Linked DNA regions of Anolis sagrei. The protein of the gene in region 2 interacts with the protein of the main gene of each other region in a pairwise test. Links are inferred from orthologs where the notes say so. Each region holds a gene or a part of one and is shown on either strand. Other genes may lie near its edges.

Region 1 (8,069 bases), on a different chromosome or scaffold from region 2:
AACCCCCTGCCAAGAAGCAGGAATATTGCATTCAAATCACCCCTGACAAATGGCCATCCAGCCTCTGCTTAAAAGCTTCCAAAGAAGGAGCCTCCACCACACTCCGGGGCAGAGAGTTCCACTGCTGAACGGCTCTCACAGTCAGGAAGTTCTTCCTAATGTTCAGATGGAATCTCCTCTCTTGTAGTTTGAAGCCATTGTTCCGCGTCCTAGTCTCCAAGGAAGCAGAAAACAAGCTTGCTCCCTCCTCCCTGTGGCTTCCTCTCACATATTTATACATGGCTATCATATCTCCTCTCAGCCTTCTCTTCTTCAGGCTAAACATGCCCAGTTCCCTAAGCCGCTCCTCATAGGGCTTGTTCTCCAGACCTTTGATCATTTTAGTCGCCCTCCTCTGGACACTTTCCAGCTTGTCAATATCTCTCTTGAATTGTGGTGCCCAGAATTGGACACAATATTCCAGATGTGGTCTAACCAAAGCTACACAAGGAGTGACCATCACTCAAAAAATTATGATTTTGTCATTTGGGAGTTGTAGTTGCTGGGATTTATAGTTCACCTACAATCAAAGAGCATTCTGAACTCCATCAACGATGGAATTGAACCAAACTTGGCACACAGAACTCCCATGACCAACAGAAAATACTGGAAGGGTTTGGTGGGTATTGATCTTGAGTTTTGGAGTTGTAGTTCACCTACATCCAGAGAGCCCTGTGGACTCAAACAATGATGGATCTGGACCAAACTTGGCACAAGCACTCAATACGCCCTAATATGAACACAGATGGAGTTTGGGGAAATAGACCTTGACATTTGGGAGTTTTAGTCACTGGGATTTATAGTTCACCTACAATCAAAGAGCAAGACAGAGGTACTCCTGGTTAGTCGCAAGGCCGAACAGGGTATAGGGTTACAGCCTGTGTTAGACGGGGTCGCACTCCCCCTGAAGACGTAGGTTCGCAGTTTGGGTGTGATCCTGGACTCATCGCTGAGCCTGGAACCCCAGGTTTCGGCGGTGACCAGGGGAGCATTTGCACAGTTAAAACTTGTGCGCCAACTGCGACCGTACCTTGGGAAGTCTGACTTGGCCACGGTAGTCCACGCTCTGGTTACATCCCGTCTTGACTACTGCAACGCTCTCTATGTGGGGTTGCCTTTGAAGACGGCTCGGAAGCTCCAATTAGTCCAACGGGCGGCAGCCATGATACTAACCGGAGCAGGGCGCAGGGAGCATACAACTCCTCTGCTGTACCAGCTCCACTGGCTGCCGATTTGCTACCGGGCCCAATTCAAAGTGCTGGCGCTGGCCTTTAAAGCCCTAAACGGTTCTGGCCCAACTTATCTATCCGAACGTATCTCGGCCTATCAGCCCACCAGGACCCTAAGATCTTCTGGGGAGGCCCTGCTCTCTATCCCGCCTGCTTCACAGGTGCGGCTGGCGGGAACGAGAGACAGGGCCTTTTCTGTGGTGGCCCCTCGGCTTTGGAATGCCCTCCCCATAGAGGTGAGATCAGCCCCTTCGCTGATAGTATTTTGAAAAAGGTTGAAGACATGGATGTTTAAACAAGCATTCGATTAATCTGGTGCAACGAAACTGATTAACAAGGATTGGTTAATCACAGACGACGAAATTGGATTGCGACTACAATTAAGAGATGCATTGGATTATTATTGGTGGCCCAATAATACTGTGTATTGTGTATGTGTTTTTATGCTTTTTAATGGAATATTGCTGCTTGTCGTTGTGTTGTAAACCGCGTTGAGTCGCCGATTTAGGCTGAGAAACGGCGGTATATAAGCGCAGTAATAAATAAATAAATAATTTCTGTCCCCCACGAATGACAGAATTGGGGCAAACTTCCCACACAGAACCCCCATAACCACCAGAAAATACTTAAGGCCATCCACCCAACTCCCTTCATCGGGGCAAGAAAACGTAATCAAGGTCCTCCTGACAAAGAGCCATCCAGCCATAGCTATAGATAGATAGAGAGAGAGAGAGATGATTCACACACACACAGATATAGTATCATAGATTGAAAGGGACCCTTAAAAAGGACAATGATGTGTTGCATGTTCCTGAGTGGGCAAACCAGACACTCTCCACATCAATACTGACAAAGACACAGCAAGAAATACTGTTTACCCACAAGCATAAAGAAATTACATATATTAGAAACCAACACTTTCTCATTTCTTTATTTTCCAGATCAACAGACTGGGCCAGAGCAACGCGTGGCAGGGGATAGCTAGTCTTCTATATAAATAAAAATGTAATGTTCGTTTGTGGGATTAACAGAACTCAGAAACCACTGGACCAATTGACACCAAATTTGGAAAGCATAAACCTAACAACCCGATGTATGTCCTTAACCCCCCCCCCAAAAAAAACCCACAAAAAATAAAGCAGAAAGGACTTCTAAACTGCATATCCACAAAGGAGAAACTGCATGCCCACAAAGAGACCCATGGCCACGCCCCCTCCTCCTGGCGGGGAAGCAGCCGGCTGTTAAAGCCTTAGAATTCAAGTGCGTGTGCATGGCCACACACACAAACACACACACACAAGCGAGAGTGGGCACCATAGGAGTGAGGAAGAAGAGGAGGAGCACGGTGGATAGGCTCCTCAAGTCCCTCCCTAACCAGCAGAAACAGCAGCCTTCTTTTGGCTGCCTTCCACTTTGTCGCCTCCTCTTCCTCCTCATCCCCCAGAGGAAGCAGCAGGCAGGATGGAGGGAGAGAGGAGGGGAGAGAGAGAGACTGTCCCTTCTTCGCCAACTCTTTCTTGCCTCCCTCCCTTCACTATAAGAAGGAGGAAAGAAAGAGGCAGAAACAAGTTTTATTTTTGAATTCTCCTTCTTCTGCGTCCTGCTCCCTTCTTCCTCCTCCAACTCCTTCTTTCTTTCCTCCCTCTTCTTCTCCCCCACATTGCTGTAGATCAGTGTTTCTCAATCTGGGGGTCGGGACCCCTGCGGAGGTGTTCCAGCGAGTGTCTCTGTAGATCAGGGGTCCTCAAACTTTTTAAACAGAGGGCCAGGTCACAGTCCCTCAAACTGTTGGAGGGCCGGATTATAATTTGGAAAACAATGAATGAATTGCTATGCACATTGCACATATCTTATTTGTAGTGCAAAAAACCCCCCACCTTAAAACAATACAATAATTACATTGAAGAACAATTTTAACAAATATAAACTTATTAGTATTTCAATGGGAAGGGTGGACCTGCTTTTGGCTGATAAGATAGGATTGTTGTTGTGTGCTTTCAAGTGATTTCAGACTTAGGTTGACCCTGAGTGAGGGCCAGGTGAATGACCTTGAAGGGACATATCTGGCCCCCGGACCTTAGTTTGAGGACCCCTGCTGTAGATCTTAGAATAGAATCATAGAATCAAAGAGTTGGGAGAGACCTCATGGGCCATCCAGTCCAACCCCCTGCCAAGAAGCAGGAATATTGCATTCAAATCACCCCTGACAGATGGCCATACAAATGTGAGTTTTTGTCCCTAACATGTAGAATCATGGAATCAGAGAGTTGGAAGAGACCTCATGGGCCATCCAGTCCAACCCCCTGCCAAGAAGCAGGAACACTGCATTCAAATCACCCCTGACAGATGGTCATCCAGCCTCTGTTGAAAAGCTTCCAAAGAAGGAGCCCCCACCACAACCCAGGGCAGAGAGTTCCACTGCTGAACGGCTCTCACAGTAAGGAAGTTCTTCCTCATGTTCAGATGGAATCTCCTTTCTTGTAGTTTGAAGCCATTGTTCTGCATCCTCGTCTCCAGGGAAGCAGAAAACAAGCTTGCTCCCTCCTCCCCGTCTCTTCCTCTCACGTATTTATACATGGCTATCATATCTCCTCTTGTAGGGGCAACGAAACCAGAATATTTCCCAAAAGGCAGAAGCCCCCTTTCTAATAGGGAGAGCAAGGATGGACACCACGAAAGTAGAATCCTTTAAACTGCAAAAAAAACTATTTATTATTGCGTGGCCATAACAATAACGACAAACAAGCATACAGGGATGCAATCAAAGGGTTTGTCGCAACCCCCAATGGGGCTGCAGAGCATTTATAGTAAATGGAATATACATTTTCATTGGTTCCCAAAGACAAATCATTTCATTGGTCTAAGTTAGCTATACAGTTGTTCATTAGTTGTTTATGATTTTGATCGACATTATAGCACACGTGGGATCCTAACAATGGCACATCTATAACATAACTATAGTCCATTGTTCTCTGACCATGACTGTATCTTATCTATTAGTCTGTTGCAAACATGGCTTCAGAGCGACTGGGAAACTTGGGGGTTCTAACTAGCCAACAGCTAGCTGGTTTTGTCCGGATATATTGTTATCCTTGAATAGTAACTTCTTCTTTGGAGCACTGATTTCTCAAACAATCAGCATTTTCTGTGAACATAGGCCTACTGCAGAAATAGGCCAATATGGCAGTAAATCATGACATATGGGCATTGGGGAAATATCAGAAAATTCCCTTTTTAAAACCACATCCCCTCCACTCTCAGCCTTCTCTTCTTCAGGCTAAACATGCCCAGCTCCTTAAGCCGCTCCTCATAGGGCTTGTTCTCCAGACCCTTGCTCATTTGAGTCACCCTCCTCTGGACACATTCCAGCTTGTCAATATCTCTCTTGAATTGTGGTGCCCAGAATTGGACACAATATTCCAGGTGTGGTCTTAGAAAACTATTTGTTGATTTAAGTCTTAAATCCAATGGATAGATCAATAAGCAGACACAAGCCTTTTCCTCCACAAAAAAGGGGGCGGGGTTTCCCCACTCTGACCGAAAAGGGTTCCAACGATAAAGGTGCGCGCGGCTCCATAGAAGCAGGAAACAGAACGCGACTCGCTGGCGAAGTGTGTGTGTGGGGAATCTATCACTCTAACTCATTTCTAACTCTATATCCTTTGTGTTGTCTAAATCTCCTTTCCCCTCTCCTAGAGCGGCGCGTGCGCAGTGCCGGGGTCCCACCTGGACCGCTCGGCGAAGGGGACTGGGGGGCGTGGCTTAGCCCTTGGGCGCGAGCCGCCTCTCTCTCTCTCTCTCTCTGAGGCAAAAGAGGGAGGATGGAGTGAGAGTGCCATGGCGTCCCCGTTCCCGGCTGAGGAAGGCGGCCGAGGCGACCAGCTCAGCTCCGGCGACGAGGAGGAAGAGGGCGAGAGAGCGGCGGCAGTGGCGGCGGCGCTGCTGGGGGAGTCTCCGGGCCCCGGCTCCGACTCGGAGAGCCCCTCGCCTCCGGGCCTGGCCGAGCAGTTCGAGCGGGCGGCGGAGCGCGTGCCGGGCCTGGTGGCGGTGGCCAGCAAGGAGCAGCTCCTCGCGCTCTACGCGCGCTACAAGCAGGTGAGGAAGGGGCGCGCGGGCAGGAGGGGAGGCGCCTCTTAAAGGGCCCGCTCCCCCTTCCCTCCCCCCCTCCCCAAAGGGACTCTTCAAGGCCTCTCTGCCAACTTCGCCGCAGGGCGTTCGGCTGCCATTCAGAAGTTTCCTGCAGAGAGTAGAATAACTTTATTGTACACTAGCCATGCCCGGGTGATTTGAAAAGTGATTGTTATTATTATCATCTATATAAATAAAAACGTAATGTTCGTTTGTGGGATTAACAGAACTCAAAAACCAGTGGGCCAATGGACACCAAATTTGGACACAAGACACCTAACAACCCAATGTATGTCCTTTACTCAAAAAAATTGATTTTGTCATTTGGGAGTTTTAGTTTCTGGGATTTATAGTTCACCTACAATCAAAGAGCATTCTAAACTCCACCAACTATGGAATTGAACCAAACCTGGCACATAGGACTCCCGGTGCTTTTTGACCTGTTTGACCGGGTGCTGTTTTCCCCTCTCTTTCATAAGACTAGGAACTGGAACAATGCGTGACCGCATCTCAGTTTATGAACCCACACGCTCCCTTTGTTCATCCGGAGAGGCCCTGCTCGCGATCCCACCTGCGTCACAGCCGCGTTTGGTGGGGACGAGGGACAGGGCCTTCTCTGTGGTTGCCCCCCAACTTTGGAACACCCTCCCCAAAGACATTAAACTAGCACCCACGTTGGCAGTCTTTAGGAAGAACGTGAATACCTGGCTATTCAGATGTACCTTCCCAGAATAGGATAACCGCCCAGCACCATGTCCCAGAAGCACTTTATTAGAGTTAAGACTCTCTGCACATTGCACTTGCCCAGAATTCCAATATACCACCGTCACATCCAGCACTTTTTAACCTGTACCCATCATTGGCCCGGCCTGTTTTTAATGTGTAATAGTGTAATGTTTTTGTCATTGCTTATGTTTTAATTTTTGCTTTGTATTGTATTGTTATTGTTTGCGATTGGTGTGTTGAGGCCTTGGTCTCTGTAAGCCGCATCGAGTCCTTCGGGAGATGCTAGCGGGGTACAAATAAAGTTTAATAATAATAATAATAATAATAATGCAATGAGGCTGAATGATGGAAGATTCGGAAGAGATAAAAATCTCATGGTGGGGAACAAGACTAGGGAACCCTCTGCCACAAGGTGCAGTGATTACTGCCAGTCATAAAAGCAACCTATATTTTCCCATCGTGGTCAACTGTGAATACGCACATATGGTAGACTAGCGAGCTATTAACCCTGGCTTGTGGGCGTCATGCCACCGCAGAGAAAAGGACTGCCCTTCCAAATGAAGCATCCCTCTTAGAGGAGACATCCAATTCGGAGTGGGACATGAAGGTAAGCGGCATGGACCGTGTGGCAGCACGGCAAAGTGTATCCAGCTGCAAGCCCCTAATGAAGGCTGTAGAAGTGGACATCAACTTTGTGGAATGACCCTTCACATTCTGAGGACGGTTTCAACCTGCTCGTTGATACACCAATCAAATAGGCATTGCAAAGACACTGGAAGGCCACTGGCATCCCTCCTGTACTTCACGAACAATCTCGGGGATTTCTGTATCCCCGCAGTCCTGTCATTCTAAATTCCACCAACTATGGTATTGAACCAAACATGGCGCACAGGACTCCCACCACCAACAGAAAACACTAGAAGGGTATGGTGGGCATTGACCTTGAATTTTTGAATTGCAGTTCACCTCCATCCAGAGAACACTGTGGACTCAAACAATGATGGATCTGGACCAAACTTGACAGGAATACTCAATATGCCCAAATGTGAACACAGATGGAGTTTGGGGGAAATAGACCTTGACATTTGGGAGTTGTAGTTACTAGGATGTATAGTTCACCTACAATCAAAGAGCATTCCGAACCCCACCAACAATGGCATTGGGTTAAACATCCCACACAGAACCCCCATGACCAACAGAAAATTCTGTGTTTTTTCGTGGTCTTTGGTGACCCTTCTGACACCCCCCTGGAGACACCCCCCGGGGGGGGGGGGTCTTGACTTCCCAAGTTGAGAAATGGTGCCTTAAGGCCATCCAGTCCAACTCCCTTCACCAATGCAAGAAAACATAATCAAAGCCCTCCTGACAAAGGGCCATCCAGCCATAGATATAGATAGGTATGATTCTCACACACACAGATATAGTATCATAGATCTGAAAAGGAGAAAAACAATTATATGTTACATGTTACAGAATAGGCAAACCAGACAATCTCCACATCAACACTGACAAAGAAACAGCAAGAAATACTGTTTACCCACAAGCATAAAGAAATCACATATATTAGAAACCAACACTTTCTCATTATTTTCCATATCACCAGACCGGGCCACAGCAACGTGTGGCAGAGGACGACTAGTTATTATTATATTTCCACCCCGTTTTATCTCCCCCAAAGGTGACACAAAGCAGGTTAACATAAAAGCATCAGCATGCAATTTAAAATATACAAATATGCAAACATGGAAACAATTAAATATAAGCAGTATTACAAATTCACAGTTAAAATCTATTAAAGCATATTCAAAGTTAAAAACCACAGAAGCAGCTTAACATAAAAACATGAGCATAGAAATTAAAATATACAAATATGCAAACATTAAAACAGAATGAAATATAAACAGTATTACAACATTCGCAGTTAAATTCCATTAAAGCTAAAAACCA
Region 2 (6,972 bases):
TTGGAATGAACAGGTACACTGGAAAGAGGTTTAAAGAGGGTACCATGTGAGTCAGTCTCTGAGGTCATTCTACAACCAAGGTACCACCATTAAGAAGACAATTTCCTTAGCAGACATTGACTCTGGGAGGAGAACTTGAGGCAGAAGTTAAGGTTCTTATGAACTTAGAACCTCAAGATGCTTGGGGAGAATAACAATACTTGCTTAGCCATTACATGTCAAGTAACCTGGTATCTTGTAATTTGGAGGCTTAAAAGTTAAAGACCATGAGAGATATCTTGCTCTTTCAATTTAAAGATGATAGGGAAAAGGGTTGCTACTTGCCATTCTCTTCCAGCACCATTAAAAATTTAATCAAGTCTATTTTAATACCTTCCACTACTACTTAATGGCCAGTCATTAAATAATGAGTTATAAAATATTAGGCTATTTTTAGTATGATAGGACCAAAAATAGAACAAATTGGTTGCTGGAGGGGAGAAAGCAATCTTATTAAAACAAGTAAGGTTTAATGGCATGAACTTGCTCCATGGCTGCAATAGCTTGAAGACTGTGTTGTCAAAGGCTTTCATGGACGGACTACATAGAGAAGCCATTGAAATACACAAGCATGTGGACAATTTCAACAAAAAGGAGGAAACCATGAAAATGAGCAAAATCTGGCCACCAGTATTTTAAAAAAAATCAGGACAGTAAGTAAAGATCAACACTTAAATAACAGTAAAAATCTCATTTACAATACAAAATGGATCACATTCCTTGTATGCCTAAATCCAATCGCTATTTCCAACTAGCGTACACCCACTGAATCAAGGGGTAAGCCAACACTGATACGAGTTCCATTGAGATATTATATATGTGTGTGTGTGTGTGCATGCTGTGTCCGCCCTGAGTCCCCTTCGGGGTGAGAAGGGAGGAATATAAATGTTTTAAATAAATAAATAAATGTAATACCTTTCTTATTGGAAAAGAGAATTAGTTATGAGCAGTTCTATGTAGATTGACAAATTATCTAACCTGGGATGTATGGAACTTTGCTATCTTCATGTAGTCTCTGAATACCTTTATGTAGATTTCTCTTACGTAAAGGGAGGAAGATCCACAGAAGTCTCAAGCCTAAACTTTCCTGACTGAAGGACAAGGAGCTTGTGGACCAGGCCTGAACCAACTTGGACCCTCCAGGTGTTTTTGGACTTCAACTCCCACCATTCCTAACAACCTCAGGCCCTTTCCTTTTCCCCCTCAGCCAATTAAGTCCAATTTTTAAAGTAGCTCTCCAGTGTGCTGAATCCAATCTTCAAACCAGCTTGGATAGCATAGGGAAGAGGTAACACCCCTGTGGTGTTTGTTTTTCTGTCTGTGCCCCTGTCAGAATATTTCTCCTTACTTCCTATCCCTGTGCGAATTTGATTTTGGGGAATTTCACATGTGGAAACAAGGATTGGTGATAAAGCTTCAGTGGAGACACCTTTTCCCCATAATAATAACTCTTCCAGGAGTGAATTTCCCTTCCAAAGGATAGATTCCTCTCACTTCCTGTTGTCTCGCCCCAGTTCTTAATTAGGAGTTGTCAGATGATTAAATTGGATGATTGTAACTCAGGGACTGTATAAGCCTAAAGCAAGCATGGGCAAACTTTGGCCCTCTGGGTATTTTGGACTTCAACTCCCACAATTCCTAACAGCCGTAGGTGGCTGTGGAGCCCTATTCTTCCGCAGTGAGGACATCAGTTTCCAGTTGGAAGGCGGTCCCGGTCAGGGTTGCCTTGACATGCCTTCCTCTTGTCATGTTTCTCTCTTTTGCCCTCCATTTGTGCCTCTTCAAATTCTACAGCACTGCTGGTCACAGCTGACCTCCAGCTAGAGCACTCAAGGGCCAGGGCTTCCCGGTTCTCAGTGTCTACACCAATCAGGCCAACGAGTAACCATCACTCATAAAAACACAGCTGAAGAGTCTTAAAATGCCAAAAAAAAAAAAACAAAACCCCAAGAAGATACTACAGCACATGCACAAAACCACACACACACACACATATGCAAAGAGGCATATATACACATGTACACAAATGTATACACACACAAAGCACATATACACAGACCGGGTCCCAACAATGCATGGCACAGGACAGCTATTAGCTTTATAAACAAGCACCTTGGTCTCCCTACGGACAGGGCCGTAGCCAGAAAAAAAATTCGGGGGGGGTTGAAAATTTCAGGGGGGGGGGTTGAAAATTTCGGGGAGGGTTGAAATCTTTTGGCGGGGGGTTGAAACCTGCCTCCTAGCTCACGCTGAAGCCAAGAGCACAGCAGGGGGCAGAGCAACCTGCAATAGCCTGCAGCTCCGCCCCTGTCAACCACCTCCACCAAGTCTGGCCTCCTTAATGAGAGCATTCAACACCCCTCCCCCACCCAACTTGATTGTTTCACTACATTGGCTGTTCTGGAACAGCTGTTCCAGGAGCTCCAGATTTATTTGCTGTGTTTATGTTTGTGTGCAAACCCATGCTTGGGATTTTGCAGCAGGGGGTTTCCTGTTATAATTTGCATTTATAGGGTAAGCCACCTGCCAGTTATAATTAGGATCCCTGGTCCCGCCCCCTTTTTGCCTTTTGGAGGGAAGGGGCCTATTTTCAGTCACACAAGGAAGCCAGTCTATAGGACGCAGATCAGCTAGTCCCGTAGGAAAGGCTTCATTCCTCAAAACCTTCCGGGGAAATGGAAATAGCCATCCGGGGATCATCCAGCGACCATCCAGGGGTCATCCAGTGACCATCCAGTTCCAGGGAAACAGAAGGAAAAGGTCCCAAAGGCTCTGGCTAAGAGCTCACAGCCTCTCAGCCTCACAACACCAGAGGGGAAAACAGCCCTGAAGTTTCCACAGGACATCACTGCAGAACCACAGAATTCCAGCTAAACATCTTCTAGCTTCGTCTGGTAGGTTACTCGGTTTCCAGACGCATTTGGGGATCGGCAGTTTTACCCAGACCAGTGAGGCCTAGGTGATGGACGGCTTGGGAGGGATTATAAAGAGTTCTTCCTTATGAGATAGCACAGTCAAACCAAGTTAGTGCCAGTCTCTTAAAGACTTGAATAGTAAAGCCGTAAAGTTTTGTTTGAAGATTTGTTCCTTAATAAAGACTTTGTTGTACTTTTAAAGACTCTCAAGCCCATTACTTCTGGAAGTCTCTACCAATCTCTCTTCGGGCACCCCGGCTTCCCGCTGGGTTTAAAGTGTGCGTTCTATAGAATAAAGACATTTTGTTCGGACCCAGTGGCGACAGAACATCGGCTATTGCTGCAAGTAATGACAGTGTGAATAAATTGTCAATATTTGCTTGAGATAGTGCTTACAGTTCTGGAGGGACTCTTAATATTTTGCATCTCATAGACTTAGCATAGGGATTAGGTTAACCAGTTAACATTCATGAGTAAACCAGGTTTTTTTTAAAAAATCTGAAACATTTCGGGAGGGGGGGGGGTTGAACCCCTAAAACCACCCCCTCGCTACAGGCCTGCCTACGGATGTCCCGGATGTCCCGGTGCTCAAACACTCTTTGCTTCATTCAGAAAAATGCTGCACTCGCAGAGTTCAAGCGGTGTTGTATTTCAGTGTCAGTGTTGACTTTTGTGGAGAGGTGGCTGCTAAGGTAGCGGAAATGGTCAACATTTTCCAATACTGGCTGTTAGGAACTGTCCAAAATACCTGGGAGGGAGGCCAAAGTTGGTCCATGCCTGCCACAGCAGTTCATGAACCCTGCATACAGCGCAGCATCCTGCAGGGGGCGCTCTTCCGTCGGCGGCGGGCCTGTTTGCCTGCGCTCCCGCTGCCTCTCGCCCGCCCGCCTGCCCGCCTCCCATAGGCTGGTGCTGGGCTCCTCCTCTCGGCGGCGCCTGCCCGCCCGCCCGCCTGGCTCCCCTCCTTCCCCGTGATGGCGGAGGACAGCGAGTCTGCCGCCAGCCAGCAGAGCCTCGAGCTGGACGACCAGGACACCTGCGGCATCGACGGCGACAATGAGGAGGAGACGGAGCACTCCAAGGGGTAGGCCAGGCCGGGCGTGGGAGGAGAGGAGGAGGAGGAGGAGGAGGAAGAGCAGCAGCAGCAGCAGGCAGCACCCACCCAAGCCCCTGCGGCAGCCCTGGTCGAGGAGGAGGAGGTCCCTCGGCCCCCGTCCTCCTTCCCAGGCCACGCTTTTGTGCAGCCTCTTGCAAGACGCCTCCCCTCTTCTCTCTTGGAGGAGGGATGGCCAGCCAAGAGGGAACCCACCCAGGCAGAAAGGCCTCTCTCTCTCTCTTTTTACACCCCCCCCCCCAATCCTGCCTCTTGCTTCTCCCTTCTTGGCTCCCAAATCTGGGGTTTGCCCTTCTTGGACCCATCCTGGGGAGTGGCTTTGCCCCCTTCCCCCTCCCATTCATTAGGCTCCCTTACCAAATTCCCATTAGACTCCCTTGCCCCCCTCCTATTAAGATTATTTACCTGCCCCTCCCATTAGGCTTCCTCCCCCCTACAAATAATATTATTTATCCCCTTCCCATTAGGCTCCCCCCCCCAATTAATTCGATTCCTTTACCCTCCTTCCATTTATTAACCTGCCTATCCCTCTTCCCATTAGGTTTCTTTGCCCCCCTCCCATTAATTAGGATCCCTTGCACCCATCCATTCAGATTATTCCCCCCCCCCAAATTAGGTTCCCTTACCACCTTCCCATTAGGCTCCCTCGCCCCTCCCATTAAGTAGGATCCCTGGCCCCTCTCATTCAGATTATTTACCCCCTTCCCATTAGGCTCCCTTACTACCTTCCCATTAGGCTCCCTTGCCCCACTGCCATTAATTAGGTTTTCCAGCCCCCTCCCATTCAGATTATTTACCCCCACCCCAGTTAGGTTCCCTTCCACCTCAATTAATTAGGTTCTCTTACCCTTCCAGTTAGATTTCCTTACCACCTTCCCAGTAGGCTCCCTTGTCCCCCTCCCATTAAATAGTTTCCAGCCCCCTCCCAATCAGATTATCCCCCCCCCAATTAGGTTCCCTCCCACCTCCCATTAGGCTCCCTTGTCCCCCTCCCATGAAATAGTTTCCAGCCCCCTCCCAGATTATCCCCCCCTCCCCAATTAGTTTCCCTTACTCCCTCCCATTAGGCTTCCTTACCACCTTCCCATTAGGCTCCCATGTCCCCCTCCCATTAATTAGGTACCCCCCTCCCATGTACCCCCCTCCCATTGGGCTTCCTTACCATCTTCCCATTAGGTTCCCTTGCCCCACTGCCATTAATTAGGTTTCCTTACCTCCTCCCATTCAAATTATTTACCCCACTCCCATTGGGCTCCCTTGCCTCACTCCCATTAACTAGCCTCCTTGCCACCTCCCATTAAGATTTATTTATCCCAAGCCCATTAGGCTCCCTTGCCTCCTCCTGTTAATTAGCCTCACTTACCCCTTTCCCATTGAAATTATTTACTCCCATTAAGCTCCCTTAACCCCCTCCCATTAAGATTATTTACCCCACATCCATTAGGTTCCCTTGCCTCCCATTAGGCTCCCTTGCCCCTTTCCCATTAATTAGCCTCCCATTCAGATTATTTACCCCCCTCCCATTAGGCTCCATTGACTCCCATTAACCTCCCTTACCCCCTCCCATTAAGATTATTTTACCCCCCCCCCCCCCACCTTAGACTCCCTTACCTCCTCCCCCATTAGGCTCCCTTGCCCCCCCCCCCCCATTAATTAGGTTCCTCCTTAGGTTCCTGCTAAGCTGTTAGGAATTGTGGGAGTTGAAGTCCAAAACACCTGGAGGGCCAAAGTTTGTCCGTTCCTGGGTTATATGTGTAAGGCGTTTTTGAATCATCAATGAATTTCATGTTTAGACTTGGCTCTGTCTCCAAGATAGCTCTTTATGTTTGTATCTATATACAAATACAGATACTCTGATATCCAAAATACTTTATTTTGAATAAGATATACACAACCTACACATTTTTAACCAGAGTCATGGGACACAAGTTTTGAGTTTTGAGTCTCCTTGTGGAGAGAAAAACCAGGGTGTAAATAAACTTAAGCATAAGAATACATGTTTATGGGTTTACAATTTCCTGCCCTCTCTCCTGTACATACATCCATTAGGAATTCCAATCCATGGTCATGGGAGAATTTGGAGCCAGAGCGTGGGAATTAATACAAATTTAATAATGCAGGATGTAATCTTTTGAGGCAGCGTCTAAGGTAGTGGTTCTCAACCTGTGGGTCCCCCTATGTTTTGGCCTTCAACTCCCAGAAATCCTAACCGCTGGTAAATTGGCTGGGATTTCCGGGAGTTGTAGGCCAAAACACCTGGGGATCCACAGGTTGAGAACCACTGCTCTGAGGACCTCATCACACTAGAGCATGGATCCACTTCATATCCAGTTTCTGCCTCATGCAGAATTCGGGGTCTTGTAGTTTATGAAGAGGCCTTTAAACTGCTCAGCAAGGCAGAACCTAGGCCTCAATAAACTACAAACCCCAAAATTCTGCAGGAGGCAGAAACTGGATTTAAAGTGGATCCATGCTCTAGTGCAGTGGTTCCCAACCTTTTTTTTGACCAGGGACCACTTTGACCATGGACCACTTGGCCAGGGACCACTCTCCAACAGTTGTATTAAAAAGGTTACAAATCCGTTTTCTATCAACTCTAGATTTGGTTTGATTATTTGGGGTGCTGATTCAGAAAATTTCATTGGATAGACCACATCAGCTTTAGTTTCTGATAGAACATATGCCATCCAGTAGTTGCCATCTCCTCACCCACAGAGAACTATATTTAATGATCTAGAGCTCATGTGGTAGTAGTAATCTTTCGTGGAAAATCAGCACCAGAAGAGGGTTTTGCGAGACCAGTTGCTCTTGTTGCCACATGGTTTCAAGGTAACGGTGTAATGGTGAGGCCGCGAACCATATTTTCATTCTTGCAGAGCACTTGTGGTCCATGGATTCAGGTTG

What was found.
Region 1: the proteins of NMT2 (region 2) and ACBD6 interact in binary tests that used the Homo sapiens proteins (3 or more experiments, as listed by UniProt). The link is inferred for Anolis sagrei from reciprocal best matches to the Homo sapiens genes NMT2 and ACBD6.

Annotation. Positions count from the first base shown.
Region 1 is NC_090024.1:125,161,198-125,169,266, forward strand, and holds the start of ACBD6 (acyl-CoA-binding domain-containing protein 6), read left to right. Parts: upstream 1-4,971; 5' UTR 4,972-5,105; coding exon 5,106-5,363; intron 5,364-8,069. UniProt on the Homo sapiens protein: Binds long-chain acyl-coenzyme A molecules with a strong preference for unsaturated C18:1-CoA, lower affinity for unsaturated C20:4-CoA, and very weak affinity for saturated C16:0-CoA. Does not bind fatty acids. Plays a role in protein N-myristoylation.
Region 2 is NC_090026.1:104,884,388-104,891,359, reverse strand, and holds the start of NMT2 (glycylpeptide N-tetradecanoyltransferase 2), read left to right. Parts: upstream 1-3,887; 5' UTR 3,888-3,928; coding exon 3,929-4,038; intron 4,039-6,972.